4 linked regions of the Drosophila melanogaster genome follow. The gene in region 3 interacts genetically with the main gene of each other region. Each region holds a gene or a part of one and is shown on either strand. Other genes may lie near its edges. The genes, in order: ArfGAP1, rdgA, Cds and garz.

The links.
Region 1: of Cds (region 3) and ArfGAP1, changing one enhances a phenotype caused by changing the other (phenotypic enhancement), as found in Drosophila melanogaster (one study listed by BioGRID).
Region 2: of Cds (region 3) and rdgA, changing one enhances a phenotype caused by changing the other (phenotypic enhancement), as found in Drosophila melanogaster (one study listed by BioGRID).
Region 4: of Cds (region 3) and garz, changing one enhances a phenotype caused by changing the other (phenotypic enhancement), as found in Drosophila melanogaster (one study listed by BioGRID).

What each region holds. Positions count from the first base shown.
Region 1 is NT_037436.4:12,412,742-12,420,312, reverse strand, and holds ArfGAP1 (ADP-ribosylation factor GTPase activating protein 1), read left to right. Parts: upstream 1-2,732; 5' UTR 2,733-3,100; coding exon 3,101-3,160; intron 3,161-3,225; coding exon 3,226-3,773; intron 3,774-3,833; coding exon 3,834-4,038; intron 4,039-4,308; coding exon 4,309-4,368; intron 4,369-4,443; coding exon 4,444-4,977; 3' UTR 4,978-5,287; downstream 5,288-7,571. Other genes in the region: SCaMC (short Calcium-binding mitochondrial carrier), read left to right, coding at 6,410-6,865.
Region 2 is NC_004354.4:8,921,800-8,929,495, forward strand, and holds the start of rdgA (retinal degeneration A), read left to right. Parts: upstream 1-3,384; 5' UTR 3,385-3,897; intron 3,898-7,696. Other genes in the region: CG12661 (uncharacterized protein), read right to left, coding at 1,424-1,819; CG43255 (uncharacterized protein), read left to right, coding at 2,168-2,575. UniProt on the Drosophila melanogaster protein: Required for the maintenance of phospholipid turnover within the photoreceptor.
Region 3 is NT_037436.4:8,124,777-8,133,715, forward strand, and holds Cds (CDP-diacylglycerol synthase), read left to right. Parts: upstream 1-2,985; 5' UTR 2,986-3,078; intron 3,079-3,152; 5' UTR 3,153-3,482; coding exon 3,483-3,593; intron 3,594-4,307; coding exon 4,308-4,432; intron 4,433-4,675; coding exon 4,676-4,772; intron 4,773-4,837; coding exon 4,838-5,014; intron 5,015-5,075; coding exon 5,076-5,564; intron 5,565-5,648; coding exon 5,649-5,780; intron 5,781-5,844; coding exon 5,845-6,057; 3' UTR 6,058-6,899; downstream 6,900-8,939. Other genes in the region: mRpL36 (mitochondrial ribosomal protein L36), read right to left, coding at 1-262; Uba2 (Ubiquitin-like activating enzyme 2), read right to left, coding at 663-2,178, 2,235-2,522, 2,576-2,730, 2,785-2,928; Setx (senataxin), read right to left, coding at 7,021-7,158, 7,221-8,842, 8,915-8,939.
Region 4 is NT_033778.4:12,322,902-12,330,373, forward strand, and holds the start of garz (gartenzwerg), read left to right. Parts: upstream 1-3,458; 5' UTR 3,459-3,772; coding exon 3,773-3,874; intron 3,875-3,937; coding exon 3,938-4,136; intron 4,137-4,191; coding exon 4,192-5,177; intron 5,178-5,238; coding exon 5,239-6,219; intron 6,220-6,289; coding exon 6,290-6,498; intron 6,499-6,562; coding exon 6,563-6,789; intron 6,790-6,848; coding exon 6,849-7,472. Other genes in the region: CG8841 (uncharacterized protein), read right to left, coding at 416-1,686, 1,757-2,999.

The sequences.
Region 1 (7,571 bases), 4.3 Mb from region 3:
GATCGGGAGCCAAACTGGCGTCGCACAGCACAGCACAGGGCCCATATAATTGTCGCATGCAAGATCGCGGCCATCGACATCGGCATTGACAACTCGAAAAGGTGAGAGGGCAGGTGGGATTGGAGAGGGGCATCCTCCGGACAGGAGGACATGAAAGGTAACGCATTGCTGCGACCAGGAGAATAAGTAATTCACTTAACGCTTTAATATCGCTGATAAATGCAGACCAATCTGCATTCCCCCCCTTTGATTTCTGTTCTTTTTTTTTATTTTTTGCTTGGTCCTCGACGATCCTCTCCATACATTTCCCCTTAATTGGTGCAATTTCGAGCGATTTTATTTTATTTCGCCAGAGTTTTTTATGATTTTTTTTTTTTTTTGTTTTCTACCTTAGAGATCACCTGTGCCTGCGCAGACTTTGTGGCTGCGGCGTGCGAACAGTCTGCTCATTTGCATAAATTCAAATTCATTTGCACGTCATTTGGGAATGGGAAATCGAATGCAAATCCGTATGCGAATGCGATTGCGAGCATTGTTTTGCACGTGTTGACAAGTTGCGAGGGGCTTGTGGATCCAAAGGAGAACAAAAATAGGGGGGAAATCTCAAGCATAGGAGGAGCCGCGACCGGATGCCCCGATGATAAAATGCGCATCCTCTCCAGAGCCCGCGAACCCATGGCTGCTCCTCGTCTGGCTGCGACCAACCGACGACGTCTATGCGAGTTTAATGCAAGCCTAAGCCTATAATTTGATCGTATCCACACAATAACTCAGGCCATAAGCCCAAAATCCAACCCTGGACTCTGCGAGCTGGGAGCTGAAACGAAAACGGATCTCAACGCACTGCCCAATGCCCAGTGGCGCTTTTGGGGGCGTGGCTGCGCCCAGCAAGAGCAGTGACAGAGCCGATAATGGATGCGCAGCAATGCCATTTCTGGCAGATCGGGGAGTACTCCGCGGCTTCTGATAAGACCACCACCAGCGGAGCACACTCGAAGAAATTAAGGGCGCCAACCAAATTCAAATGTATGCAGTGTTGTATTAGGGAAAAACATGGCATAAGTGAAGTTTAAACACAGATAACGGTATCTTTCAATGCTAAAAATTCTATATTTAGATTGAACAAACTTAGAAAATTTTGATTTACTAAAGAGATGTCTTCAACAGAAAGGAAGCTAAAGGAAGTAGTCTCATAATATTATGAACTAAAATCTAAGATCGTTTTGTTAACTACTTGATAGAATATGAAAGGTTATTTTCTCATCTGAGAAGTCTGTTATTTATCTCAGTGCATTGGATCCGCTCCGGCAGCGGGACAAGTAGTTGTTGAAAGCGTCGAGCGAGTGCCCAGCCAGGAACGCCCGGCTCTTTGGCTCACTGGCTCATCGGCTCACTTAGCGAAGGAAGGAGTCGTAAGTTGGCTGGGACGTGGCGATCGGCGGATCGATCGATCGGATTACCCGGCAGGCTTTTAAATTCAACACATCCTGCGGTCGCCGCGGCAATTATATGCTCGTTGCCGCTCGCATCCAGATCTGATCTGCCACGCCCCCCTTGTTGGGCGTGCGACGGCAATTATAGATCCGCTGAGATGCCAAAAGACGCTGACTTAAATAAATGCGCGAGTTTGGAAATTGAAAGGGAATTAGCGGTGGGCAGGCAGAGCCGAACTGCGGAAATATTGTGCATAATTATATGCTAATCCGAATGGCATTGAATTATGTGCAGACGCGTGTGGTCACCTACCTTTTGGACTTTTCCTCCAAGGGGCACTGAAAAATGGGGAAAAGGGAAATGGCTTTTAGGCGGCTCCAAATTCTCTCAGATTTGAGTTCCCTTTCATCTTTGGTGGCCCTGCCACCCGCGGTCTGTTTGCATTGAAGTCGATCATGTAAGTAATTTCCCCTGTCCGGGATTCAAAACACCGAAATCGAATCAAAATCCACCGACAGTCGGTAGGAGATTGATTACTGTTAGGAGTGTGATAAATCGCTGTTTTTATTAACTTTTTTCGGGATGACGCAGCGCAAATTGGCGGCGCTGCATCTCCAGTCGCCGCACGAGTACTGAAGATCTGGAAATCAGATCAGCGTGATAATGTATAATTTGTTGAAGGGTTTTCGGCGTGCTCGCAACAAAGGCGATGCCATCGAGTTGGGTTAATTGAATTTGCTGGAGAGCGGACAGAGATTTTTGTGCAATATTTAGCTAAAATATGTATGTGTATATTAACATTATTAACATTATTAACACATTAACATTAACATATGTTGGATAATGATGAATAAAAATGGTTTTCTAAATGTCTAATTTAATTTATATAATTTCGAAAATATTTGTTCTTATCTAACTTTTTTCGAAATATTTAGTAAATAAGCAGCTTGAATATATTATATGCAAGCTATATACAATAAATATAATACAGCAACAGAGTAAAAAAATATTTTATTGTTTTTATAAAACCGATAGAATTTTAAATTAAAACATTAAAACATGTTAAAGCTAATATTTTTAGGTTTTCTTTTATGAAAGACAGTTTCAAATATATTAAACTTGTTTGCTTAAGATATTTAAATATCCCGCTCATTTTCAATAAACTATCGATATATCGCAATTCCGAACGTTCCACTTTAGTTGCACTTTGGTCACACTGCAAAACAAAAATCCAAGTGGAACTTTGAGATGGGTAAATATCGATAGTATGCCCAACTTCCTTTGGTTTTCCATGCAATATTCGGTATATCGATGCTGTCGTGAGTGGTCAGCTCATCTCCAATTCCAAGTGGGACACGCTTAACACTTTTTTTTTGCCAATTTGCCATTAATTGCAAGCGTCCCAGCTGATCCAAAAAAATTCAAAACTCTGTTAAATGCGTTTGGCCAGGCGTTCGTCGCGATCCGTGGACTTTAAAGGCTCGTAAGCGTGTGTGAGAGCTTCAAATCGCCCCATCTCAAAGCCAAGATTGCACCCAAATCAGCGCCAGCGTCAGCAAAAGTTTCATTAGCAACTCGGTTATCAGCTGCGAAACTGAAGCCAACTGAACGCAAAGAGTTGGGCAATCCGCCAGAGCAGGGCCAGAAACCATAGAAACCAGTTGCCATGGCGAGTCCCAGAACGCGACGGGTGCTCCAGGAACTGAAACCCCAGGATGAGAACTCGGTAGGTTTGCTCCTTTGTCCACATACGCTAGATAAGCTTCAATTTCTTTGTTTAAAAATGACTAGAAATGCTTCGAGTGCGGTACCCACAATCCGCAGTGGGTGTCCGTGACCTACGGCATCTGGATCTGCCTGGAGTGCTCCGGCAAGCATCGCAGTCTGGGCGTGCATCTGTCCTTCGTGCGCTCCGTCACTATGGATAAGTGGAAGGACATCGAGCTGGAGAAGATGAAGGCGGGCGGCAATCGCAATGCGCGCGAGTTTCTGGAGGATCAGGAGGACTGGAACGAACGGGCGCCTATCACGCAGCGTTACAACTCGAAGGCGGCTGCTTTGTACCGCGATAAGATAGCCACCTTGGCCCAGGGCAAGAGCTGGGATCTCAAGGAGGCGCAAGGCCGCGTGGGCAGCAACAATAGCTTCAGCTCAGGTGGCTCCAGCAACAGCAGCTACCAGTCGCGACCCAGTGCAACAGGTTATGGCGGAAACGGAGGCTATCAGAATGGCGGAGGCGCCGAGCCTGGAGGCTATCAGCAGTACCAAACGCAGGAGTTCAAGGACCAGAAGGAGGAGTTCTTCAGCCGACGCCAAGTGGAGAATGCCTCCAGGCCAGAGTAGGATCTTAATGGCATATCTGTCCATTAGCTATGATTTATCCTAGTTGATTGTTTCAGAAACTTGCCACCGAGTCAGGGCGGAAAATATGCAGGTTTCGGGTTCACACGCGAACCACCACCGAAAACGCAATCTCAGGAGCTTTTCGACTCGACGCTTTCCACTTTGGCCTCTGGCTGGAGCCTTTTCTCCACCAACGCCTCCAAGTTGGCCAGCACCGCCAAGGAGAAGGCCGTCACCACCGTCAATTTGGCCTCGACAAAGGTGAGTCCTGCGCCTCAGCTCGTATATCTTTCAGATTTTGATTCCTTATTTGCCTATTCTCTTCGATTTGGTTCAATATTATGTTGATTTTGTATTCTTTTGGTTTATTATTAGTCTGCTGATTAGTTTTAAATAATTTAAAGCTGTAGAAACCCACCTTAACAACAAAAGAGAGCAAAATCCCTTTAGTTAATCCCCATATTTGTTTGTTAATTTAATTGGTACACCTTATTGTTTGTATTATTTATTTGCATCTTTTTTTGGTTGTAGATTAAAGAGGGAACTCTGCTAGATTCCGTACAATGCGGAGTTACCGATGTAGCCAGCAAGGTCTGTAGTTCCCCATCATCCAGTTAATCTTCTCTAAACCCACATCCCTCTAACATATAAACATACCGATCGCAGGTCACCGATATGGGCAAACGAGGTTGGAATAATCTGGCGGGCAGCAACATTTCGTCGCCGCAGGGCGGATACAACGATCCCAACTTCGAGGACAGCAGCGCCTACCAGCGTTCCAATTCCGTGGGCGGTAATCTGGCCGGAGGCTTGGGTCAGCAGAGCGGCGTCAGCGACAGCGACTGGGGCGGCTGGCAGGACAACGGCAACAGCAAGTCGCACATGACCAGCTCGAGTTCGTACCACAATCAGTTGAGTAGCAGCAGCGGCGGCGGTACCGCCTCCGCCGGCCTAACCCGCGACGCTGACTGGTCCGGCTTCGAGGCGACGAACTATCAGAGTTCAGAGACCTCCTACCAGAACGCTTCGTCCGGCGGATCGACAGCTCGCCGCAACATGAAGCTGCAGGACACATCGCAGAAGCTGAGCGAGGGCTTCGAGAGCCTGGACGTGAAGAGTGTGAAGCCCAAGACGGCAACGGCCTCGTCCGCCAACAAAGGCACTGCCGAGGACGACGCCTGGAATCTGCTGATGAACTAGAAACCGTGGCGAGCAGCTTATGCGATTGTATTTTTTGTATTCCATTCGGTTGTCAAGTTGTGTCTCCTTTGTTTTATGTGTCTCTTGATGTCTGGCCCCGAGGCTGCTATGCGCGCATTTAATGTAACCAACTGAATTGTGTATTCATTCTTCGACTTCAAACATAAAGTGCAACTATTCCCGATTATTTCCACAGTTTAGACCAATTTTGTATAGATCTACTTAACTAACGAATTACTTAGCTTAAAGTGTATGCCAGGATACTGCGAGGGATGCGAGATGAGAAAATACATATTATGTTAACAAGTGTAGTCGTTCGTTTTTTAAATGGGCGGTTTTAAATTCAAAAAATATAAATATTTGCAAATTTAAAAAATACATTTAAAATTAATAGTGTTACCCTACAATTCCACATTTTAAAAACCACAAATAGGTTTGAGTCACGGCTAAGCAGTGACGCGATGCATTTTAGGGTATTTTCGACCACACAAGAAGTATATCTAGATAAACGTTCGTGGTCACACTGGCAAACCCAAAAAATTAAAATTGAAGAGTTCTGCGTGAATCGCTTTAAGCCACAAAGTCGCCGAAATAGCGTAAAAGCAGACGAACTCTTAAATAGCTCGACCAGTAGGTAGTGACCACAGAAAAAGTGGGAAATGCAATTGAAGCTTGCCACTTTCTTTTGCATATCCACATTCCTTTCGCCTGCATGTGAGCGTGTGTGTGTGTGTGTGCATGAAAATCGAGTGCAGAATAATTTTTGCCAAATTGGCAACAATTTGCAAGCGTTTCGAGAGAAATTTGAGTCACACCTGTCTGGAAAATGGGCGGAGAATTCAGAAAAGAATGTAGAAAGTGTGTGAGAGCGTGAAGAATTCTTCGGTTAAAGCTACGCTTTGCAAAGTAGAAAGTTCGAGTTGCTGGGGGAAAGTCTCCCTTTTCCCAACACTCCCCCCCTCTACCACGACTTTTGGAGACATGTGCGTGCGTGTGCGTGAAGCTGTGGGTTTTTCAAGGTTTTCCGGAAAATCGCTGGCCTTCAAAATTAACTGCGAAAATCAATGGGATGTGGGTTGTACGCGGGATCCTGAAAATTGGCACCTACAATGTACATATGTAGTTCTCCAGCCAAGAAGAGGATGACTTCATCGCGGGGAAATTCGATACGTTGAGCTGTTTTATTTATCTTTCGCCCAGACATAACATTATAAACTAATGTGTATACAACACTCGATACCTCTTTCAGACGACTGTTTTTCCATTTGACTTGCCAAGTAGTGCAAAATGAGCCGGCCATAAGAGCAGAGCAGCTGATAGCCCAACACGTAATCCCCCAGAGAATCGGAAACCGAGCAAACCCAGAGAAATCCTTCAGCTGCCAGTTAAAGAACAGAAAACTCAAGGTAAACTGTAAACACGAGTGTGGAGAATGGTCAGAAAGCAAGTTGGAATCGAAAACAGTGCATCCTTAGCAGTAAGCAAGCAGCAGGATCAAAAGGAGCAGGACTATAAGCCAGAGGATCAAAAGCAACAGCACATCGACATCGACTTGACGCCCGATCCGGCCAGCAACTTCAACTTCGCCCAGCAGGCGCAGGCCAACTACTCCGCCCGCACGCTAGCCGCCAGCTATGAGCACGGCCAAAATCTCGGCCTGCAACATGCCCATCTTGCCACCAGCAGCACTACCAACACGCCCTTGGCCTATGATCTGCACGAGGTCGCCAGCTCCGGCTCCATCCTGCCCACCGAGATCCCCATCGAGGACGAGGAGCGGCTGGAGCGCATCTTCAACAAGCTGGACCGCGATGGCGACGGCAGGATCGATATCCACGACCTGTCAGCGGCACTGCACGAGTTCGGGTTGTCGAGCGTTTACGCGGAGGTGAGCAAAGCCTATTTATAGGATGATATATGGAAGCCATCACATCTCATCTAGCTATTTCAAATGTATCATGGATAGGACATATCTGAGGCTCCCATGATTTTAACAGATGTATCTTAGGGTAGAAAACAAGCAATCTTGATTAGCATAGTTGAACTACACGTGCCCTGGGCTCGCCATTTTCACAGGGAACTAACAATGCCTTTTTCTATTTGCTATTCTTCGCCAAACAGAAGGCAGACGGTTGAGATCAATAATATGCGGCCTTGACGGGCAAAAGTATCTGAGAATCTTAATTTATACATTTTGCATTGTTTGCTTGCTCTGATCAAGGCGAAACATTTGGCACTGCTGCTGACCCTGGGCAGCCTGACCCTTTCATTGTGTCATTTTTGCAGTTGCCAAAAAAGGGCTTATTAAATCAAAAGAAATGTGGGGTGGCAAACCAGGCGAAGATGAATATTCTATTTTTAGATGAGCACAATATTATTTCGCGTACAAATCTCTTTGTTTGACTAACAGATATTGTTTGTGGTATTATTAGCAGCTTTGTTTATATTTTAGCCAAAACAAACTAGATATAAAGAAATTTAAACTATTACTTTTATCCTGTGACCTAAATTCTGCTCCATTATACTTCTAGTGAAATCCTATATTAGTTTATTTATGTTGCACAAATCGCCAGATTGTGAAATTACATGCAACA
Region 2 (7,696 bases), on a different chromosome or scaffold from region 3:
GATGGGTGGATAGCACAGTCACAGTCCGTTGTCCTGACTTTATGTTCCCCTTGGACTGATGAAACTTTAACTGGGGAAACTCCACATAGAATTGCAATACAAAGCTGATTATCGGTAGTATCGATACGTTTGATATTTGCTTGTCGATAGACATGAAATATAGATCAAATATGGCTGACCTAATTACTTCCTCATTTAAGTAACTAAATGGTCCCGTCAATTGAATGAACAGTTCACTATTTCGTTTCTTTTGTCTTAAACTATGAAAATCGATTATTTCGATAAGTGTACAGTTTTCACAATTGGTTATCGATTGCTCAGGCAGGCAGACGCAACGCTGACCAATTTCCACGGTAATTGCAGCGCACTCATTGACGGACAGGTCGTAGATGCCTTTTTCAAATAATGTCTACTTCGTTGCCTTGCTTCGAACCAATTTGAAGACCTCCTTGTTTCTCCTTGCCGTTTCCTTCCTCTGCTGCAATTGTGCGCCGTTTTTGGCGCCCAAACTTTGGTGTGCCTCGCCTGAAAGTATGCCACATTGCCCGTGACGAGGAGATTATTGCTATTGTCGTATCAATTGGAGTACACCCCAACAGCCTAGCAAGGAAGCTAGGAACTGCAGCTGTGGTCAATGCTGACCCTCGGACTAGAGTCAAAAGAAGACTCAAGCGACACCACCCTCATGACCTCCCTAACCTGGTTTTGACCTAGAAAGTCTTAGTTTTAAAATTCATTAGAATAATCAAATAAATAATAATTACTATGTTATATCAACTATTATAATTCTCCCTATCATTTTTAGGATTAAAAATCTGTTAGTCTTAAGTAACCAAGACACATTGTAAAATAAAATAATTTAAGCAGATCAAATTAAGTTGCCGCATGGGTAACAGTGCGTTGATCAAATAATAAAAACATCATCGTAATGGAAAAAAAAAAAAAAAAAAAAAAAAATCAATTGGTAGCATTTACATGCGGCGCGTTTTTCTCTATGTTGCTGAATAAATCACAGACCATACGAAACATGTTCGTATGAATAATTTGTGGACTGTATTGCTTTTGGGCCATTATCCTTCGATGGAATGAGGTCTCGTAATTGCTTTATAAAAAGCATGTTTTTGGGTCACCAAAAATTGCAGCATAATCGATTAAATTAGTAAATAAATCAATAAACATTTCCTCGGCCGATTGGCGACTGGTGTTAGATTACTAATTGCCGTTTGGCATTAATTAAGTCGCTATTTAGCAATTAAGAGGTGTTTGATGGCATTTAAGGAAATCGGTGGTTCACAGTCCATGATATTTTTTAAATGAATTTTTGAATAATAAATATAATATAAAATAATATAAATTAAGACATTTTTGTTTAAATCCAACGAATATAATTTTAATTAAATCAAACCATAAGTGTTCTGTTTTGCTAAACACCTTTCTCCAGGGTATCTCGCATAGCCCTAAACATTTCGGGCAACAATCCCACATGGCTATCCACGCAGTTGCTGGTGCAACGTTCCAAGCTATAATCGGATCCATTGAGGCGGCACTGCTGGATGCACTTCTCTAGGCGATTCTCAAAATCGGATATACCCTGCTGTACGAAGCAGCGTGATCGGGTCAAACGGATTTGGCAGCGATCGATGCACCGCTCCACCGCCTCCGCATTCGCGTCCGCATCCGCACAACAGGCGGTCGCACATCTGTGCATCTCGATCTGCAATTTGCGCAGATAATCCCGATCCAGATCCTCCATGGCGGTTAGGATTGCATTGTCAACGCGTTCTCGCTTCTCCTCCAAACTCGAATTGTCACAATCCATCTCGAGTAGTATAAAATTTATGGAAAATATAAAAGTCGGTTGGTAATTTTCGTTTGACTGCCCTTATTTGAGTTACGCAAAACGCAATGCTACTTTGGTTTTGTAATAATTTCTTCAATTTAAATAATATATGAGCAGGAAATGGGCGACTCGCAGTGTTAAGTAAGTTAGGTCATGTTCTTGACTCTTCTTGGGCAAATTTTTAAACTAAAGTCACGGCATTGACATAACTCAGTGTGAAGCTATCTCTAATTGAGTTTGAGTTAATTTGTTTTTTGCTGATAAGTGCACTACTGAAAGTGTATATAAGTAGAAGTTGGACAACGTGGCCGTGCATAGTTTTTAAAAATGCATTACTTGCATATCTTTGGGCTCTTGGTCTTTTTGGCCGCTTTTGGATTAAGCCTTGAACGTCGTGATAAGGAATTCTACGGGATATCTAAGGAGCAGCTAACGACTACTAAACATAAAGAGAATTCTGTGGAATTTGTACAACACAAGATATCCTTGAAGCTGCCGCAGAGATACAACCGATTCAAACGTCAGTCCTTTACGCCATTTGAAAGGCGTGTGATACGTTTACTACGTAAATTGGGCTTATTAAAAAGCGATGCTGAACAACTGTTGGATACTCTCGAAAAGGACAAGGATCTATTACGAAGATTGAAGAAGTTACTCGACGAGGTCGACACCGAACATGAGACCAATGATTTCCTTGAAGATTTCTTCGATTTAATATTTTTCAAAAAAATATAAGCAGCTTTCTTCCTGTTGTTAGGAATGATATTGATCGATAACAATATTGCCGATTATACCGATAATTAATGCCATAAAATCGTTTATTTAAATTGTTTTAGATATTGCAAACAATCTGATTGCTAATAGCTAACAATATCATTACGATAATCGTTTGGATTATTCTAATCCCTTACTTCCTCCATCGCCCTCACACGCCATCACTCTCTCTCTCTCTCTCTCTCTCTCGATAATTATCGATAGTTTGGGCACTTGTGTTGGACCAACTTAAAACACCGCACAAATGATTGCCATAAATTTGATGGCAACAAACAGCGACAACAAAAACAAAGAGTAGCGCTGCCGCCCGCACTTTCTCCGCAGTTCTCGCCATTTCTCCGCTCTACTTTCTCCGCTCCTCTCTCCACTCAATAATGTGCCAACTGTTGAGTTTCCTTCCGCTTCCGAATGCGAGCGCGAAAGAGAGAGAGCGAGAGCGAGAGAGGGTGTGAGACAGAGACGGGGCGAGCGGGAGTATGTGGGCGTTGGGCGGCAAAGGGTGAGGGAGTGAGAACGATACGGCCACTCGCTCGCTTGCTCGCTCTCGCTCTCTCTCTCTCCCTCCCTCCCTCTCTCCCTCTCGCTCTCTCGCCGGCATCGAAGGCTGCTTACAGGTGTTTATAGTACTTCGGCTTTTGCCGACCACAGCCGAAGTTGCCGGCCGATTGCTGGCCTCTCGCTCGCTCCCGCGCTTATGCTCAATAGCGCCCTCTCGCTCCCGGTCGCTTTATATTCCTGGCAATGCGTCGCCTTCGCATCAGTTTCATTTGAACGGTCGACGAGGCGCGTTGTTCTAGAAATAAATAACTCATTTAAATAGCAGAACAGCCCAAGCAGGCCAAACATTTCAAAGCAAAATACCAAAACTCTCTGGAACTACCAAGTTCTTAAAAAAAAACACCAACATCGCCCAAAACACAACAAAAACATCGCATACCATAAGAAAAACATAAACATACTGAAAAACTTACAATATCTAAATATAAAGTAACTATTTTTTTGATTGTGCTTCTAAGTGTTGTGCTAAACCAATATTAACTTGTACAAATATTCGAAAATATTCAAAGATATTCCAAAGTATTTATTCAATACTTGAAATATAAGCTACGATACAAACTTAAAACTTAAAACTATGTAAGACTAAGATCTAGTTTTTGTGCTTTTTGAATCCTAACTGTTAACGTGTAAAAGCACGCAAAAATGTGCACGAAATTTTGACTTGATTCGAACGACTGAAAAGTGCGTTCCATTGTAAAGAAAAACTAAAGCGGCAAACCGAAACGGTAAATATGAATATACTTATTGAAATTCATTGAAAAATTTCCTTGGAAAATTTGTTGATTAATTTCGTGATGTGAGAGTTTATTTGCCGTGTGTGATTGTGAGCAGCGTGTTTGTATTGTGATTTTTCGGAAATGTTTTTATATTTAGTCTTCAAATGGGGATTCCCAGATTTATTTAAAGTTTCAGCTACAATTTTTGGCAAATATTCGTAGTTTTAGGAAAAGCTCCACAGAATATTGTATTGTATGCTTCAGTTAATAGAATCACGCATGGAAATTATCAAGAATTCGGTTCTCAGCTTGTTGTGTTGAATTTGATGAGTTTTTTTGGAATATCATAAAATATAATCGGATTTTATAGTTTACAAAGAGTTTCAAAATTCCACAGATGTAAAATAGTTGACTCGAATTGCTTGAATATATTAATATATCTTAGTTTAAAGCAGTAATTTTTTAAAAATTATTTAAAGCTCGAGCTCTTTTTAGGCTCCACAAATATGTGTGCAACAATGTGTAATTTTGAATAAAATTCCGTGGAATGCCCTTTGCTTTTCATTCTGTATAAATTCAATTACCAACATTCTCATTGTCTCAGAGTATCCCCCTACTTTCGAATGTCTGTGTGTCAATAAGATGATTTAATGAAAAATCGTCTGCAATTTCGGTTCGAAATTCGGCAAAAACACGGCGAAACAAACTCGTTACGCATACGCCGTGTGGGCAATTGTATTAAACGATGCCATTCATTGAAAATTGCTGGCCAAAGCGAGCGGTTTAGGTTTTTTTTAGGCCACTCCGGTTAAGGATTTGGGTGTGCTCTTGTCGGCCAGCCAGTCTCGTTAGCCGAACTTGTTGCCACATTCGCATCCGCACTGGCATCCGCAACGACATCCGCACACGCATCCTTCGTGTACGTGTCCTTTTGCTAATCGGTGCGTTTAAGGAACTGCATGCTGGAGGATGTTGCAGCTCTTGTATTGGCGCGTGACCGGCTTTTCTCTGACATAAGAGCGCGAAATGGCGAAAATAACGTAATGGCGAAAGGCGGCACTCTGTGCGGTTGGCAATCTTTGATTTCGCATTTCCCCGGTAACAGGGGAAAATGTCAGACAACGTGGCGTATACGTGGCATTTGTGTTTGTGCTTCCGCTCGTTTGTTGTCCTCAAGTTTGCATTCAACGACGAAGGCACTTCGTCGCGGTAACCAAGTGTAAATATACAATTTAAATTTCTCTAAGGAAACTTTAAATTTATATATTTTTTTTTTAATCAATACGAAGAATTTACATTTTAAATCACCAAAGTATAAACATGAATGAAGCCTGCACATATTTGTAATAATAAATGTGTGCGCTTTGAAATGGTTTAAAGATTTTTGTTTTAGGCGACTTTGTTTGTTTCTGAAATAAAGAAATTGCTACCCATTTGTCTTGCGTACATATAAAAACGCGATGTTTCAATTGTTGATCCACAATTTTTTGTTTGCTCTTGTTTGCTTCGCTTCACATAAAATATTCAATTTTCATTTCTTGTCGCTTTTTTTTTATTCGTGACCCAGGGGTTGGGTTCGCATATAAAATCCAATAAAAATACACATAAAAATTGAAAACAAAATACAAAAAAAAGAAGAAAAAAAAAAAAACAGAAAAGAGAATGAAAATGGTCGAAAGATACCGCGGGCTATTTGACAGCAACGAGGGGGAAACACGTATGCATCGCATTTTGATTGCAGATTGTATATCCATTTGTAAGGGTGTTTCCTTTGCCAAAAGCACCGTGTTAATTAATAGAAATTGCCATTTGAACAATTTTTGGGAATTTCAATATCGAATGGAATTGCATTGCAAACCAAACCAATTACCAACCAGTGTGGTAATTTATTCACCATTTTTTACCCCCACAAAAATTTCCACAATCAATCATTGTTGTGTGTGGCAGTTTAGGTAGCTCAAAGAAGCTGGGGTCGGAAAAATCGAATTTTTGAAATTTGAAAGCTGGAATCGTTTGCCCATTTTTTGCCCATGTTTGCCCACCAATTAGTTTTTTTGCCCACGTCCAGTTTTTGAGATATGAATTTTCGAAAAAGTTCGAAAATTTTCGAAAATCAAAAATTTCGCTTTTTTCAAAATTTTTTTTTTTAAATCGCAATAACATCGTTTGCCCACGTTTGCCCACCCTTTAGAATTTTGAAAAAATTTATACTTTAGAAAATATAAGGCTTTTAAGTTTACCTCGGTCTAATCAGAGAGTAAATCGTTTGCCCATCTCTTAAAACCAAATATTATCAACAAAAAACGTTTGCCCAACCATTATTATTAGTTTTTATCGTTTGCCCACCCTTTAAAAAACCTTTAACAAAAATTTTTTTTCGATTGCCCACATTTAAAATACAACCAATTTCCTTAGCCCACCTCTTTAAAATAAAAATTTCCAATAAAAAACGTTTGCCCACCATTTAAAACTAAATAATTTCGATTGCCCACCTTTTAAAACTAAATAATTTCGTTTGCCCACCCTTTAAAATTTGTTTTTTTCGTTTGCCCACCTCTTAAAAATGGTTTTTTCGATTTTTCACCTATTAAAAATAAATTTGTACATATGTATGTAATAATTGTAAGATGTGGCGTCAAAAGCACAGTTACTTACAAAAGAACAGTTATTTACATATTTACATACATTTTCAATATATCCATAGTGTTAATCATTCATGAATTGTAACATCAATTTTTCTTAATCATTGTTTCATTTCATGGAAAATATTTTATATTGCAATATAATATATATGCAAAAAAATGTATGTATGTTTATCAACACCCTCCAAGCTCAAGAAAATTCTGGAATAAAATATTTTCCATGAAATGAAACAATGATTAAGAAAAATTGATGTTACAATTCATGAATGATTAACACTATGGATATATTGAAAATGTATGTAAATATGTAAATAACTGTTCTTTTGTAAGTAACTGTGCTTTTGACGCCACATCTTACAATTATTACATACATATGTACAAATTTATTTTTAATAGGTGAAAAATCGAAAAAACCATTTTTAAGAGGTGGGCAAACGAAAAAAACAAATTTTAAAGGGTGGGCAAACGTTAAAAATGAATTTTAAAGGATGGGCAAACGAAATAATTTATTTTTAAAGGGTGGGCAAACGTTAAAAATGAATTTTAAAGGATGGGCAAACGAAATTATTTAGTTTTAAAAGGTGGGCAATCGAAATTATTTAGTTTTAAGAGTGGGCAAACGAAAAAAACAAATTTTAAAGGGTGGGCAAACGAAATAATTTATTTTTAAAGGGTGGGCAAACGTTAAAAATGAATTTTAAAGGATGGGCAAACGAAATTATTTAGTTTTAAAAGGTGGGCAATCGAAATTATTTAGTTTTAAGAGTGGGCAAACGAAAAAAACAAATTTTAAAGGGTGGGCAAACGAAATAATTTATTTTTAAAGGGTGGGCAAACGTTAAAAATGAATTTTAAAGGATGGGCAAACGAAATTATTTAGTTTTAAAAGGTGGGCAATCGAAATTATTTAGTTTTAAGAGTGGGCAAACGAAAAAAACAAATTTTAAAGGGTGGGCAAACGAAATTATTTAGTTTTAAAAGGTGGGCAATCGAAATTATTTAGTTTTAAATGGTGGGCAAACGTTTTTTATTGGAAATTTTTATTTTAAAGAGGTGGGCTAAGGAAATTGGTTGTATTTTAAATGTGGGCAATCGAAAAAAAATTTTTGTTAAAGGTTTTTTAAAGGGTGGGCAAACGATAAAAACTAATAATAATGGTTGGGCAA
Region 3 (8,939 bases):
GCACCACGATGTAGCAGTCCTTGCAGCGTCGCTTCAGGCGTCCCTTGACCTTGAATCCCGCCACCTGCTGGACCAAAGTGGAGCCAGGCGTCAGCAGACCCGACGTCTGACAGATTCCAGTTGTGGCGGCCACAAGTTGCGAGCTTTGAATTGATACAATTGCAGGAGCCGCCGGCCGGGTGAGAAGGTGGAAACCACGCGCGGCACTGAGACCATTCCACAAGCGGGAACCTTGTTGCAGTATTCTACTAGCCAGGGACATCTGAAATTTGCATTTTCATTGAGATTTACAATGAAAATTTGTAGAACAGCTCACCTTTTTCTGTTTTGGATTGAACTGGTCAGAAACCGATAACAGGCACAATGACTTCCAGTGCTTCGCAGCACTGGTTGGCGTTAAAAAGTTATCGAATTAAAAATTTGACTAATTTTAAATGTTATTTTATATTTCTTTTATTTAATAAAATTACATTTCTCGCACTGGATTATTTGAATTTAATCGAGTAGAGCAAAACCAAACCCGTTCAAAGCACAAAAATTTAAAAATTTTATCATCCACAAAAATGTGTTTTTATTTTAAATCAGAATGAAATTACAGGGAATCAAGAGCATAATTTAGTGCGCAGTTGAGAACTTATTCGAATAAAAACTTCTTTTTTTTATTAATCGATACTGATGACTGCCACGGGGTTCGAATCGTCCAGGCGGGAACGTTTGCACTTGGTTGGTCCCGCGGGTTCGTCGTCAGACGACTCCAAAATCTCGGTGATATCCTCATCCTCGATTACTTCACATGGCTTGCGCTTGGAGCCCGATTTTGGGGGACTCTGCACAGAGAGCTTGTCTGTGGCCACGACAACAACATCTGCTTGGTCTTCGTCTTCCTCGATTACCAGACAGTCATCGTCATCTTCCTCAACCACTTCGTTGGGCCGGCTGCGCTTCGAAGTGGAGGGTCCATCGTCCTTTGAGTCTCCTTCCCCGTTGGTAGAACGCTTCTTAGCCGATTTCGGTTCATCCTCCTTGTCTTTCACGGCCTCCTTCTGATCCTCATCCTTTGGCTTCAGCTGTGAGGCATCTGCTACGACTTCGAACAAGTTTTCATCGCGCTCCGCATCGAAGTGGGAAATGATAATACTCAACTCGTAGTTCTGGAAGAAGTCGTCGCACTTGAGGATCACACCATCCACAATGTTTAATTCGCTTAGGAGCTTGCCGTCATTGCATTCGGTCTCGCCCTCCTCTGAGGAGATTAAAATGGAGCCATTGCTCTGCACAGTCACATCCGGATTCAACATGTTGAGCGTCTTAACCAGGACCTCGTCACGCAGCTCCTTTATACGCATGCGCTTCGTATCGATCTTGAGAGTAATGGCCGGATCGCTGGCGCATACATGGCAATTGGGATTGGGGCCAGGAAGAGAAGCGTCCGGTACAAGGAAGTGATTTCGTGCATTTGGTCTAAGTCGGGCATAGACGGCCTTGCACTGCTCCCACTTGGCCTCCAGCACTTTGAAAGCCCGCATCACGGAAATTCCCGCCGTAATCGCATTTGTGGTGGCAATAGCAGGAATAATGTTTCCCGCCATTGACTTAATCTCGAACCTTGACTTTCGCTCAATGTCGAAAATGTGGGATCGCACGTTGGCGCAGGCCGCCACGAAATCCATGGCTGGCTGGTCGTCCTTGTCCCAAGCCAGAGTATCGTCGCCTTCGAGTTTCAGGAAGTTAGCGCTCAACTCTTTTAATGAATTGGCAAAGACCTGAGCGCACTCCTCGATGGACCACACCTTGTGATGCTGCTTGGCCACATCCTTCTGATCACCGGAGGATCCTTCGGGCAGCAGGGTATCCCACTGCACGGGCACGGGTGCCTTGCGGGTCTTCCACAAATTCGACATACGCAACAAATAGGTAATGTCCTCGTTAAAGAACTTGTTGAACAGCTTGCCCGCATCATAGTTGCAGTCCTTGGCCCATTGGCGAGTATTAATGCGCATTATGTTGCCGTTGGCAGTATCCTCCTTGGCCTCCTTTTCCTCTTTTGACTCTTCGCCTTTTTCCTTCCCATCGCCTTTGGGCTCGCCATTTCCATCGCCGCCGTCTTTTTCTTTTGCATCGGGATCAGCAGCATCAGGAGAAATATCCTCATCTTCCAAGGACTCACCAAACAGTTGACTGCAAATAAATCAATAGATTTGCTGCAATTTAGACTAATTATTAGGTATACTCACTTAAAGAGATGCTTGGCCCAGACAATGCAGTGAATCGGTTCGGAGGGCGTATTGCGTATGGTGCAGCCCGGGAAGCTTCGCTGTTTGTCTTTTGGAGTGCACTCGTAGCACTGGGTGAGTCCACGCTTGATCAGTTCCACCTGGCCATTGTAGCCGGCGGTGCCGCTCTCGATCAGCGGGACATCCGCATTGAGGCACATGCGATTTACATGATTCCTGGCGGCCCTGTTGTCCAAGGCGCTGAGCACCAAATCGAACTTCTTAAAGAAGTTGACGCCATAATCAGTACTAAAAGGTATGTGTTGTTAGCAAGATGTAAAGGCAAAGCTATCCCAACTTACGATGTTACACTGTCGTGGTAAGCGGTTATCTTAGCGTCCGGATTGAAGCTCAGTGCGCTTTCCCTAGCCACCCGTGCCTTAGATTTTCCAACGTGCTCGCGATGGAATAGGAACTGTCGGTTCAAGTTGCTAAGATCAATTGTGTCCAGATCGATCTGGGTAACGTTTATAAATTAATAATATGGAATACTTTTTTCGAAAAAACTTACAATTTCGATGTCTGTAAAGCCGCTAAGCACAAGGTTTTTGAGCACCTCGCAGCCGATTCCGCCGGCGCCCACGACCAGCACCTTGGACTTCTTTACCAGCTCCTGCAATGTGGGTGGGAAAACACCATTGATAGCTGCTGCCATTTTCTGAATTTACGTTTTCCTTTTTCTTATTTTTGGCGAGAAAATTGCAAAATTGCGATACGGAAAAGCCGAGAAAAGTGACGCCGCCGGTGCAGGTGTTGGGAAACGTATAAAGCTACGGATATTCTCTACCAGGGATGGCTGATATGGGTGACTCTTATTATCACTTAAATTAACTTTTCTAGTATTATTAATATATTTTATTTTACATATTACGACAAAAGTCACCGTTAATTGCACAGAAAAAGAAAGTTCTTTTAAAAGACATCAAACATTTTCTGTCCGAAAAGTCAACTTGTAAAACCTAACAGCAATTGAGCATACTTGCCAACACTTTTGCTCCACCAGCCCACTTTGCGCAAGCTGGGCACACTGCATGCTGGGCTAATCAGAAATAGAGAAAAGCATTTTAATTCGGACGAAGTCGACATACGGATCACGCAGCACGGGTCACGGCAAACGGCAAACGCGGAGAGCGGAACACGGACGAGAACTGCTCAAGCGGAATCAATAGGAATCAATACATTGTGAATAGATCTGGCGAACATCGAATAATGGCCGAAGTGCGACGCAGGAAGGGCGAGGATGAGCCACTGGAGGACACGGCCATCTCCGGATCTGACGCAGCCAATAAGCGCAACTCCGCCGCCGACTCCTCGGACCATGTAAGTAGCAATGACTTGTATGTGGAGCAGCCGAGCGGCAGCTGTTCCGGACACCAATTTGCATAATTCTTGGAGCATAGAAAAGCCAATGTGTGTATACCAACAAATGTGTGTGGCTATGTGTTTTTGTTATTCTCTGACGCACAAGCAGGTGGGAGAAAGAAGAGAGAGCTCTCTCCTGGAGAAAATCCAATAACAAACACAAAACACACCACTAGCCAGCCAGCCTGCCTGCCACCCAACCACCCACCTGCTGTGTTGCAATATAGCGCCATTATGACCAGCAAATCCAATTAGATGGACTACGCCAATTAGGGAAGCACTGGGCCAAGAACCCAGAGCCGAAACCATTACCATGACCAGACTCCCTTTCTGGCTTGGACTTTTTTTGTTATTGCTGGGTGATAATGCCTCCTTATCAACCAAGCTATTTGGCAACAAAACACGCCACCCAAAAAAACCCGCAATTTTTCTCCCCACTTGGTTCCCCTCTCTATTTTATGTGCCTGTGTATTGGATAAACGAGTGATTCTGATTATGGGTATATAGGCACATACATACACGTATCATGGACTTTGCTCGGCGTCGTCCAATAGAAAGTATTTAAACCCTGCACTCCGGTCGTATCGAATCTGATAGGAAACCTACTTTGCAGTCCCAGCCAATGCAATCAATAAGTGAATTTTCCCTTTCCCTTGCTCCTCCTCCTGCCAGGTGGACTCCGAGGAAGAGAAGATTCCCGAGGAGAAGTTCGTCGACGAACTGGCCAAGAATCTGCCGCAGGGAACCGACAAAACGCCCGAGATATTGGACTCGGCCCTCAAGGATCTGCCGGATAGGTATGTGAAACAAATCCATATGCGTAGTTGGGATCTTTAAAGATCATGATGAATAGCTAAAGGTCGATTTGGAATTGATGATTCAAAAAATATTTTATTGAAGTGCGAATTTTATAAATCCGACAGAATGAGTATGAGTGCGTTCCAAAAATAATCCATATCCACAGCTGTCTACAGTTGGCGAGCAAATATTAAAAGTAAATATGTACAATTACAAACAATTATTTTTTGCGCATTCCACAGATGGAAGAACTGGGTGATTCGCGGCATCTTCACATGGATTATGATCTGCGGCTTCGCATTGATCATCTATGGTGGACCGCTGGCCTTGATGATCACGGTAGGTTTAATGGAATTCGCTTAAACGAGTCTTCAAATAATCGTTGTCCTACTTTCTCTTTGCAGACGTTACTGGTGCAGGTGAAGTGCTTCCAGGAGATCATCTCGATTGGCTACCAGGTTTATCGAATTCATGGCTTGCCCTGGTTCCGAAGCCTTTCCTGGTATTTCCTGCTTACCTCAAATTACTTCTTTTACGGAGAGAATCTGGTAGACTACTTTGGCGTTGTAATTAATCGGGTGGTCAGTAAATAATACAATAACCTGATTATATCGCCTGGTAAATATGCAATTTCATCTACAGGAATATCTGAAGTTCCTGGTGACCTATCACCGGTTCCTTTCCTTCGCCCTGTACATCATCGGGTTCGTTTGGTTCGTGCTCTCACTGGTGAAGAAGTATTACATCAAACAATTCAGCCTGTTTGCCTGGACCCATGTATCCCTGCTGATTGTCGTCACCCAGAGTTACCTCATCATACAGAATATATTTGAGGGGCTCATTTGGTTCATCGTACCTGTTTCGATGATAGTGTGCAATGATGTCATGGCGTACGTGTTCGGTTTCTTCTTTGGGCGCACTCCCCTCATCAAGCTCAGCCCCAAGAAGACCTGGGAGGGCTTCATCGGGGGTGGCTTCGCCACCGTCCTCTTTGGCATTCTGTTCTCGTATGTGCTGTGCAACTACCAGTACTTTATCTGTCCCATCCAGTACTCGGAGGAACAGGGACGCATGACAATGTCCTGTGTGCCAAGCTATTTGTTCACGCCCCAGGAATACAGCCTTAAATTGGTAAGTGATAATGTATTTCTATGGAGTTATGGGTTACCGATTTGTTGTGCTGATAGCTACAGTAATAATTTTTTTCATTTCCAGTTTGGCATTGGCAAGACTCTAAATCTTTACCCCTTTATCTGGCACTCGATCTCCCTGAGCCTGTTTAGTTCCATTATTGGACCCTTTGGTGGCTTCTTTGCCTCTGGATTTAAGAGAGCTTTCAAAATTAAGGTAAGTAATCTTTTCGGAACACAGGTCTTTTCAATGTAACGCAACACACCATCTTGTTTTGCAGGACTTTGGCGACATGATACCCGGACATGGCGGCATTATGGATCGTTTCGATTGTCAGTTTCTTATGGCGACCTTCGTTAACGTTTATATATCCAGCTTCATCAGAACTCCGTCGCCGGCTAAGCTGCTGACACAGATTTACAACCTTAAGCCAGATCAACAATACCAAATTTATCAGTCCCTCAAGGACAACTTGGGCGACATGTTAACCTAAACTTGATCGGTTACCAGTAAGATTCGGACAAGACGTTTGCTGAGTCGTACGTTCTATATGTAATGCAGAAATTTCTATATATATACATTGATATATATCTGTAAGCAAACGGGCCGGCAGTTTGAGCAGCCACATAAAATAAGTTAATTACGGGCATAATTTTTGTTATGTTATTAGTCCTTAGTTAGATTTTGTTGCTACATTTTAGTTAAATTCTTAAGTTAGTTTTTATTTTATCTTGCATTAAGTTATTGCGATTGTTTTATTTGGCAGAACTCTACACAGTGCAATCGTATTGTTAAGCGATTCCATTAATTTTAATGCCCTCGTGACAAGGCGTCAAGGCAAGGCAAACAGAATAACTATGAATTTAATATCGACTATGTGTGTGTGCGTGTTGTTAGTGAATTTAATTACGATAACTATAGCTTAGAGATGATCAGGCAGACAACGCCAGAATCTGGAGATTAGCATAATTAAAGCGCATTTTAGTTAAATACCTGAGGGACGAAATTATGAGATCAAGATACCAGGAAAACTCTTGCAATGCTGTAATTCTATATATAATAGTGCAATATGCAGACGTTAAATAATTGATTTAACCATTTCAATATTTATTTATTTACTTTTATTCGGTCATACACTACGCCATGCATAGTGCAACATCCTCAACCCGTGAATCTTTCTCAAAAAGTACATAGATGATATATAATCGGTTACTTATAAATCCTGTTATACTGTACGGCATTTAAGAACGAAAATGCAATTCGTCGGCGTTTTAAAGAACTAAATGTACAAAGATTTCAATATTAAATCTTACAGTCTCTATGTTAAATATATATAAAAATAACAAAGCCTTTTTTTAAACAATGTGGGAAGCGCTTCTCTTCCATGGCACTTGTGATATCTTAGCATCTAAAAGGTAGTTTTAATCTCATTAACTAATAGGGAACGTTGTGTCCCCTAAATTAAGTTGATAGTATTCACCATCATCTTTTTGATTAAGGAACGGTCTAGGTCGTTCACATCATCGCGGTCCAAATTGAAGTAAACTTTCCTCTTGCGAGCATCATCGAGAAGGTTGCGCCACATTTCAACAGACTACAAAATTAAGAAAAGTTCATAAAAAACATGTTTTATTTCAATTAAATCTGGATACTGACTTTTAGATCTTCAAAATTGCCACATATGACTAGACAACGACGCGGTCTGGTCAGCGCCACATTAAGTCGCTGATAGTTCGTTAGAAAGCCACAGCCGCGTGTCCTGGCATTTGAAATTATTATCACATCCTTTTCCAATCCTTGATACGAGTCCACAGTCTGAGGAGTTATATTCATGTGACTGGGAATAACCTGGCTTAGCGCGTAACACTGGTTTTGGTACGGCGAAATTAATCCATAGCTAAATCGCTTGCTGGGCATATGTTTGTCCATTTCTGTCAGAAGTTTGGCCACAAAACGAGCCTCCTCGTTATTGCTGATACTCTTGTTTTGGGCGCCATTGCTGTCGCAAGTGTATTTTAAATTAATAACGCAGTATGGAATGAGCGGTGAGGCGAAACGAGCAGTACACTCGGCGTTTATCAACTGATCCTCGTAGAAATACTGGTTTGGCCATCGACAGATCTCTGGATGCATGCGGTACTGCGTGCTCAGCTTAAATAGTTTCGTATGCATTAAGTGATAACTTCCCGGCTTATCAAGCTGTGTCTGCAGGCTTCGCTGAATGCGATCAAACATTGAATTAGAAAGGCCAAAGTCTATGGCCTTCTTGGACAGCACCACAGCCGGAAGTTGCTGCATGTCGCCAACCAAGACCATATGCGTTAATCCAAATCGCATTGGCAGTAAAGTCCAGGGCTCGGTACATTGTGTGGCCTCGTCGACGATGCATATGTCAAAGAAATCTACATAGTTTGCCAGTTTTACACAAGAGGAAAGCGTTGTGCAGATGATGTTCGCCCTGGTCACGCACATGTGAGAGATTTCAAACTCCTCGCGCTGCGTCAGCGGCGGACTCAGTTGGTTACTTATCAGCTGCAGTTTTTTTTCCTTCTGTTGCAACTGTTGCAAGAGATACGTTGACGTGAGATTCGTTTTCTCCTTCAGCTGTTGAATCTCATCTTTAAGATCATTATGCTGCTTTTTTAGGATTTCAGCGTTCTCTTTACTAACGCGCTGCAACTTCTGCTCCTTGGCTTTGTTGAAATGCGCCTCCAGCGAAAATGGACGAGAGTAGTGGCTCATCTTCTCGTGCATTCCAAAACGTAGTAGGTGGAATTGGTCGCGGTTCATCACACGCAAAACTGAGCCTAGCAGCCCAACAATATGATCTACAGCTGTATTGGAATGAGCACATATCAAGATTTTGCGGTCCAGCGTTTTGGCAGCATTTCCGTACAAAGTCTGCAGACATAGTTCCGAAATAACTCTTGACTTTCCGGTCCCGGGGGGACCCTGGATCAGAGTGAGACTCGGTTGTAAGTCGTCAATTATACGTTGATAGGTATGCAGGACAATGTTCTCCTGATGTTCATTTAACTTGTGGCACCCCTTGAACGTAAACGGCTGTTTAGGGAGTGAAACCTCATTGACTGTTTGCGTAGGCTTCAAGATCCGCCGGCAGAGCGGAGAGCTACGGAGCTGATGGACGGCACTCAAAGCGCCAAGCTCCACCCTTAAGCTGTCCACTACTGGCCGTGCAGTCAACTGCTTAATGTTTTTGAGCTTCTCCTCGGATATATCTTGTTTCAGGATCTCAAATGTTAAGTCGAATACGTTGCCTAAAAAAAAGGTCAGCAAGGCATTTAATTGATGAATGTTTACAATTATCTTAACATATGCTGATGACTTACCTGAGACAAACTTAAGCTCCAACAG
Region 4 (7,472 bases), on a different chromosome or scaffold from region 3:
AATATAAAATAAATAAAACCATGCAATAAAATATACGGCACAAGGAACATTTTCTGTCACAGATTACAAAAACATGAGTTGTTTAATAATTTAGTCATTAACTAAAATAAAAACACTTTGTGCTTATACTGTTTTTTAGAACACTCTTCAAAACAAATTAGGAAAGCAATTAAATATCAATGCTAAAAGCCGATAACAAATCTGTTGAATGGATCTCAATGCCACATCGTAACTGATAAGCCTCATTTTTTTTGTTGCCAATAAGCAAAATTGTGGGAAAGGTAGTTCATTACACACTGATTCTTCACAAAAACATTTGGAATGAAATATGTACTAAATAAATTAACTACAGTAAATGCCAAAGCGTGTAAGCTACGATTGCGCTGCTGGTGTAGCTGGGAGTCCACTTACTGACCTAGACGCGCTGAATCTCGAAGAGCTTGACCTCCGTATCGTACCAGATGGCAGGCTCCACGTTGCGCAGGTAGATGACACCCCAGATGTAGGTGCGGAACCATGCCGTTGTGCCCGCATTGGCCTGGTACTTTCGGATGAGAATGGGATGCGGCACTGGGAGCAGTCCCACTAACGTTCCGTGTTGCAGAAACTTGAGGATCTCCGACTCGTCGGTCAGTCCTTTGTCAATGCAGATCTTCTCCACCTGGGGCACTAGGACCTGAAGCAGTCGCATGATGGTCTGCAGCGGCAGCTTGGAGCGCCAGGAGACGATCCACTCGGGCGTGGGCGTCCAACGATCGCTCTCGCCAGGCACCATGCGAATGCTGGCCCTGTGGGCCACCGACAAGCGGGACAATTCCGTGGGTGAGGTGGACTTGCGTTCGTCAGTTGGCGTCGAAGCGGCTGATCTGTCGTAGGGCACAATGTCTGTAGAATCCTCCACCTGAGGCTTGTCATTTGGATGCGCCTGCTCCCGCTCCGTCATCTGAGTAATGCCCGGGGTGTCCAACAAGGACGTTTTCAGTGTTCCTGGCTCGGCTGGCTGCGCCGTGAGAACGTCCGACTGCAGCTCCCCCGCCTGAGATCGCTCATGAGACTCTGTCTCCGATTCGAGATCCTCTTCCGCCTTGGGCTCTTCATTAATTATCTCCTCCTCGTCCTCATCCTCGTCTTCTTCGTTGTACTCTTCTGGCACGTGGGCCGAGGGCAGTTCCTGGGACACAGCTGGCGTTCTTCGCTGTGGTACCCGCGGCAAGTTAAACTTTCCACCTGTTTTACGGCCACTCAGGCACTTGGCTATGCCAGCCATATCGGTCGGGAGATTTGCCATGGCATGGAACACATGACGCTTTCGAATTATGGTGTAGACTAGATTCGAGTTGCCATCGAACTGATACTGTATAATGTTATTGAAGATCTCCAGCAGGAAAAACACCAAATGATGATTGCTGGGTGCCGATAGCAGAAACCAGGGTGTGCTAAAAGCCTCCAGGAGATGCAACATCTTTACACTAGCCACCATCGAGAGGGTTTTCAGATATGGTGAGACATTTACCAGAATGGTCAGCAGACAATCGAAAAGCGGCTGCAGCCTCTGGTGGCCAGTGGCTATTATTTTGTGGAACACAGTGATGAGTAAGTCCGCATGGGTTCCAGTAAACACAGGTATATCCATGGGCACCGTGGCGGAGTATGCTTTGTTAAGCCGAACCCCAAAGTTTCGCTCACCTATCAATAAACATTTATTTAAGTGTAAGTGCACTGATTCCACGAACAAAACATATGACATATGACTCACCCGATAGGAGCAACAGTATGAATACTCCAATATGCATCAAGCCCACTCGAGATTGATCCGCTCGGGAGTAGTTTAGGTGATACAGAATGGGAATCAGGATGTCCAGAACATCGGAGCTCTTTAGCACAAAATACAGAAACTTTTTGTTGTAGTCGCATATTTTCCAAAACAAAATAAGCAGCTCCTGGTGGCAATGAAGTCGCTTTGTGGAATTGGGCAAATAGTTCTGGACCAGTGGGTTGTTCAGCAGCCTGGTTATGCCCTTGAGCACAAAGTGAAAGTCCTCGTCGCGGTGAACCCTCGAAAGATAGTTAATGAACAAGTTGTCGCCGCAATTGCCCTCGTCGTAGGACGCCTGTCCGGGTTGTGTGAGTTGCTGCTGCACCACCATATCGTGATCCAAGGTGACAATGAGCAGTTGAAGGCACGCTTCCACCAGGGGCTCTGTGGTGTCTGCAAACAGCAGGTGATTGTAGGGCACGCCGAAGCCCACCGGATCGTAGGAGCACACGGTGTTCAGAAACGAGGTGAACAGCGGCAGGGCATGGCGATTGTCGGCCGAGGTGAAATATGCTATCCACTTGTTGGGCTCCTCGGACTGCTGCGGCGATCGGTACATGGGCTCCGAGAAGCAGGTGAGTAATAGCTTCAGCAACTCCGTGCGCCTGCGCTCCATGTGGGCGTTGTGGGGCGGTGACTGGGCGAAACCCACGCCCGCTTCCCAAATGTACTCGCAGCTATCGATGTTCGCCAACTCCTCGGCCTTCTCGGGGCCCGCACGCCGCGTGGCCGTAACCGTGAAGTCGGGACAGAAAAGAAGGTCGCAGGTGGCATTGAGCAGTGACTGAGCCAACGGCATGGTCTTGTCCTGCGATGGCAGGCTGCTCCAGAAGAAGTCGCGCCACTTTTCGTCCTCGAAAATGTACGGCAGACACCGGACGAGCAGCCGCACGCAGTTCAAAACGCACTGCTGCTCCGCCTGCGTGCGACAACTGCTGTCTACCGCCTGGGCAAGCTTTTCCACCGCCTTGTAGCATAAGGTGGCCAGGTTGGCTGGATTCTCGTTCCGTATCTGGCGAATCTCGCTCGAGGTGACCAGCGCGAACACATCCTCCAGCGTCGTCTGGTGGCCCTGCCAGAACTGCTCCCAGAACTGCTCGTCGCTGGGGTCGATCTTCTGGTTCTTCTGCGTCAGCTGCACAATCGCCTTGCGAAAGTTCAACTTGGAGTCCGTGTTTCCCATATTGTTCGGCCTGTGGGCTGCTTTGGTATCGCTGAGTCCTGTAAATCCACCTGCCCCGTGCTCGATCGCCTCAGTGCAAGTGTGCGCAGTAGTCTGGAACAGGAATGCTTTGCATTTAATGCGATTCTTTTTCAAAAATCGAACGATTCCAATTAGAAATTCGCCTACGCACCAAATGCCAGTGTAACTTAGTGGTGGGTGTAACGCTCACGACTGAAGATGCGTGCGTGACTGATTATGCTCACCTGTTTTGGCCCTCATATTCAAATATCAATTTGATTAAATCAATTTGATCGACAGCTTGGCAACATATTTTATTTTAAAAACAAGGTTATATTTTTTTTATATACGCTTGCAGCTGTATTTCAATTTAATCTATTGAAATTTCCGCATCGAGTTGGCATCTACAGCTGTGCCAGTGCTGCGAAGCGACGAACTGCCGCGCCGGTGTTGGAAGACGCTTGTGCAAAATATTCGGACTGCACACAAGAACATAAACGACACGTAAACGTCACCAAAAATTAGCAGCTTACCAGTTCGATTAGTTAGGATTAGTGAGAGATGCCCAACTAGGCAGCACGCCCAGATTCGTCCAGGCAGCGTGAGTGTGCGAGTGGGCAAGTGGCGAGTGCCAAAACATATGCGAAGGTCGTCGGGAAGGGAGGAGGAGCTGCCCTGCCCCACGAAAACTGCAATTTTCAGCGCTAGCCCTGGAACTGGAAGCCAACTAGCTGCAGTCGTAGAGACACCGCAACGGAGGACACGCGGACACCATGGCGCTTCCAGGCAACGGCATCTACGTGGTGCGGGGCGAAATGGCCACCCTGATGACGGCGATGCGACGTGGAACGCGTTGGAATGCCACCGCCTACGTGGTAAATAGTGCCCCTAATGCTCACTGCGAATAGAAAGTATATGGCCCTTTTGCACATCCACAGGACGACGAGAATGACTCGCTGCTGAAGCTGTTCATTGACCTCAAGCATGAGCTAAATCGGATCGAGGACCTGCGTCAGATCGAGCCTCAGGTCTTCCTGGCTCCGTTTCTTGAGGTGATTCGCACGGCGGACGCCACGGGTCCGTTGACTAGTCTAGCCTTGGCCTCGGTTAACAAATTATTGTCTTACGGGCTAATAGGTATTATGATTTAGTGCTTACCCTCTGCATTTGCTCATTCTGTACCTATCCACAGATCCCACGTCTCCAAATCTGGCTGACATTGTGGAGCGCATTGCCGATGCTGTGACACATGCCCGCTTTATGGGCACCGATCAGTCCTCGGATGGTGTCACCTTTATGCGAGTGATTGAGGTGCTGCACACGCTTATCCGCAGTCCCGAAGGAGCCGCCGTCAGCAATGTGTCCATGTGCGAGGTGATGCTCAGCTGCTTCAAGATCTCCTTCGAGCCGAGGCTGAGTGAACTGCTTCGTCGCTCGGCGGAAAAATCGCTCAAGGACATGGTGCTGCTCTTCTTCATGCGCCTTCCCCAGTTCGCCGAAGAGCGAAGTGACACCATGCTCCAGAAGCGATTTACTATCGGCGATGCTGCCAGCGGAGCTACCCAAGAAAAACTAAAGCGTAAGACGGTTGCCCAAGCCCAGACAGCACCCAGGAAATCGTCAGCAGTGGAGGAACCGCCTCAAACACCGCAGTCTGCCAACCTGACGGTGCCAGGGCACTTGAAGGCACCCATATTGGCCACCACACCCGCCAGTCCAGCGGGAAACATATTGGACATGCAGGGCAAGATTACGCAGACACCAACAACAACGGCGAGCACGGGGGAAGATGAAACCACTGTCCCGGAGACTCCTGTTATTCAAGTGGAGTCGACTGAATCGGAGCCCTTGCTGGACGGCGAAACGGGTGAAGCAACCAGCACCCTGGCCGAGGCAAATAGTAGCGAGTACATCAACTCGGTGGGCGTCCGTTTTACACAGCAGTCCACCGATCACGATGTAACATCACTATCCCCTTATGGCCTGCCCTTCATCCAGGAGTTGTTCCGATTCCTCATAATCCTCTGCAATCCTCTGGATAAGCAGAACTCGGATAGCATGATGCACACGGGTCTTAGTCTACTTACTGTAGCTTTTGAAGTCGCAGCCGATAATATTGGAAAGTATGAGGGCTTGCTGGAGCTGGTTAAGGACGACTTATGCAGAAACTTAATATCGGTAAGGGACTCTTAATTGCTTCGTTAGTTATTTCTGACCTAACTCTTTCCTTTCCCTACAGCTTCTCAGCTCAGAGCGGCTTAGCATCTTTGCCGCCGATTTGCAGCTCTGTTTTTTGCTTTTCGAGTCTCTCCGCGGACATCTCAAGTTTCAGCTGGAAGCCTACCTTAGAAAATTGAGCGAGATTATTGCTAGCGATAATCCCAAGACGCCCTACGAAATGCGAGAACTCGCTCTGGACAATCTACTGCAGTTGTGGCGCATTCCCGGCTTCGTCACGGAATTGTATATCAACTACGATTGTGACTTGTACTGCACGGATATGTTTGAAAGTTTGACAAACCTACTGAGCAAGTATACGCTGTCAGCAACGAATGCAGTTTATAGCACCCACATTATCTCAATGGACACCCTGTTAAGTGTGATAGACAGTATCGAGCGAAATTGTGCCGCGAGCAAGAATAGCAGCAACAACAGAGAGTCCTTGCCAGAAGCTGCCCCAGCAACAGGTGGCAGCCGCCATTCTCGCCACAACAGCGGATTGGAGGGAATCGTAATTGATTCTGGCAATAGTGTAGCTGCAGAAGAGAAAGTGGAGAACATCGCAAGCTTTATAAATGCGAGCTCACATCGACTACGACTACAATCTGGCGGAGAGGGAGTGGGAATAACCAGTGAACAGCTGGCCAAGGTCAAACAGAAGAAGCGTCTGCTATCCCAAGGCACAGAGCGATTTAATCAGCGTCCAGAGAAAGGAATCCAGTATCTGCAAGAACACGGCATCCTAAATGCCGAGCTTGATCCCATGCAGGTGGCCCTGTTCCTTCGAGAAAATCCCGGGCTCGATAAAAAAATGATTGGCGAATATATCTCGAAAAAGAAAAACGTCGACTCTAAGATTCTAATTAATTTTGTGGACTCGTTTGATTTCACTGGTCTTCGAGTGGATCAAGCATTGCGTCTTTATCTGGAGACCTTCAGATTGCCCGGAGAGGCTCCATTGATCTTTTTGGTGCTGGAACACTTTTCTGATCATTGGCATGTGAGTATACACATCTACTAAAATACTTGCAGTCTCTGATATTAATCATGTATGTATCCCACCAATATAGAAACAAAACCAAGATCCGTTTGCCAACGTAGACGCTGCTTTTCGCTTGGCCTATGCCATCATCATGCTGAACATGGATCAGCACAACTCGAACGCGAAGCGTTTAAATGTTCCAATGACGCTCGAGGACTTCACTAAGAATTTGCGTGGTCTAAACGGTGGCGAAGATTTCGATCAAGAAATGCTGGCTCAAGTCTTTAATGCAATCAAGTAAGCTTTAGTACATATAGCGTCACTCTCATTTGCTTATATTTCCGATTATTAATTATTTAAGGAACGAAGAGATCGTTATGCCAGCAGAGCAAACGGGTCTGGTGCGTGAAAATTATCAATGGAAAGTACTGCTTCGACGAGGAGACACGCACGATGGACATTTTCACTATGTGCATGACGCATCATACGACGTGGAGATCTTCAATATTGTGTGGGGTGCTTCTCTGAGCGCCCTAAGCTTTATGTTTGATAAAAGCACTGAAACGGGCTACCAAAGAACTCTAGCAGGTACGTACATAAACATCTAATAATTACCATTCACATCTCACATTACGATTACATTTCAGGTTTCAGCAAATCCGCTGCCATATCGGCGCACTATAATCTGCATTCGGACTTCGATGCCCTCGTTTTAACTCTCTGCAAATTCACAACGCTGCTGAGCAGCGTAGAACAGCATGAGCCCGCTCCGGCGAACAATGAAACCCAGCAAGCTGTGAACTTTGGATTGAACGGAAAGGCTCAGGCTGCCATGCGAACGGTGTTTCTATTGGTTCACGACTACGGCGATTGCTTAAGAGAGAGCTGGAAACACATTTTGGACCTATATCTGCAGCTTTTCCGTCTAAAGTTGCTGCCAAAATCATTGATCGAAGTGGAAGACTTTTGTGAGGCGAACGGAAAGGCCATGTTAATCCTGGAAAAGCCCCGCGAGAAGCAGGAATCGGGACTATTTTCCAGCCTGTACTCATTTATCAGCTCGGAGGGTCAGCGAGAACCAACGTACGAGGAGCAGGACTTCATCAAACTGGGACGGAAGTGCATTAAGGAGTGCCAGCTGGATCAAATGCTGCAGGAATCAAAGTTTGTGCAACTAGAGTCGCTGCAGGAGTTGCTTAAATGCGTTCTAGCGCTACTGAAGGCTCCTCAGGGGCACAAATCCATTGGCCTGCCGTACGCCGAAGATCAAA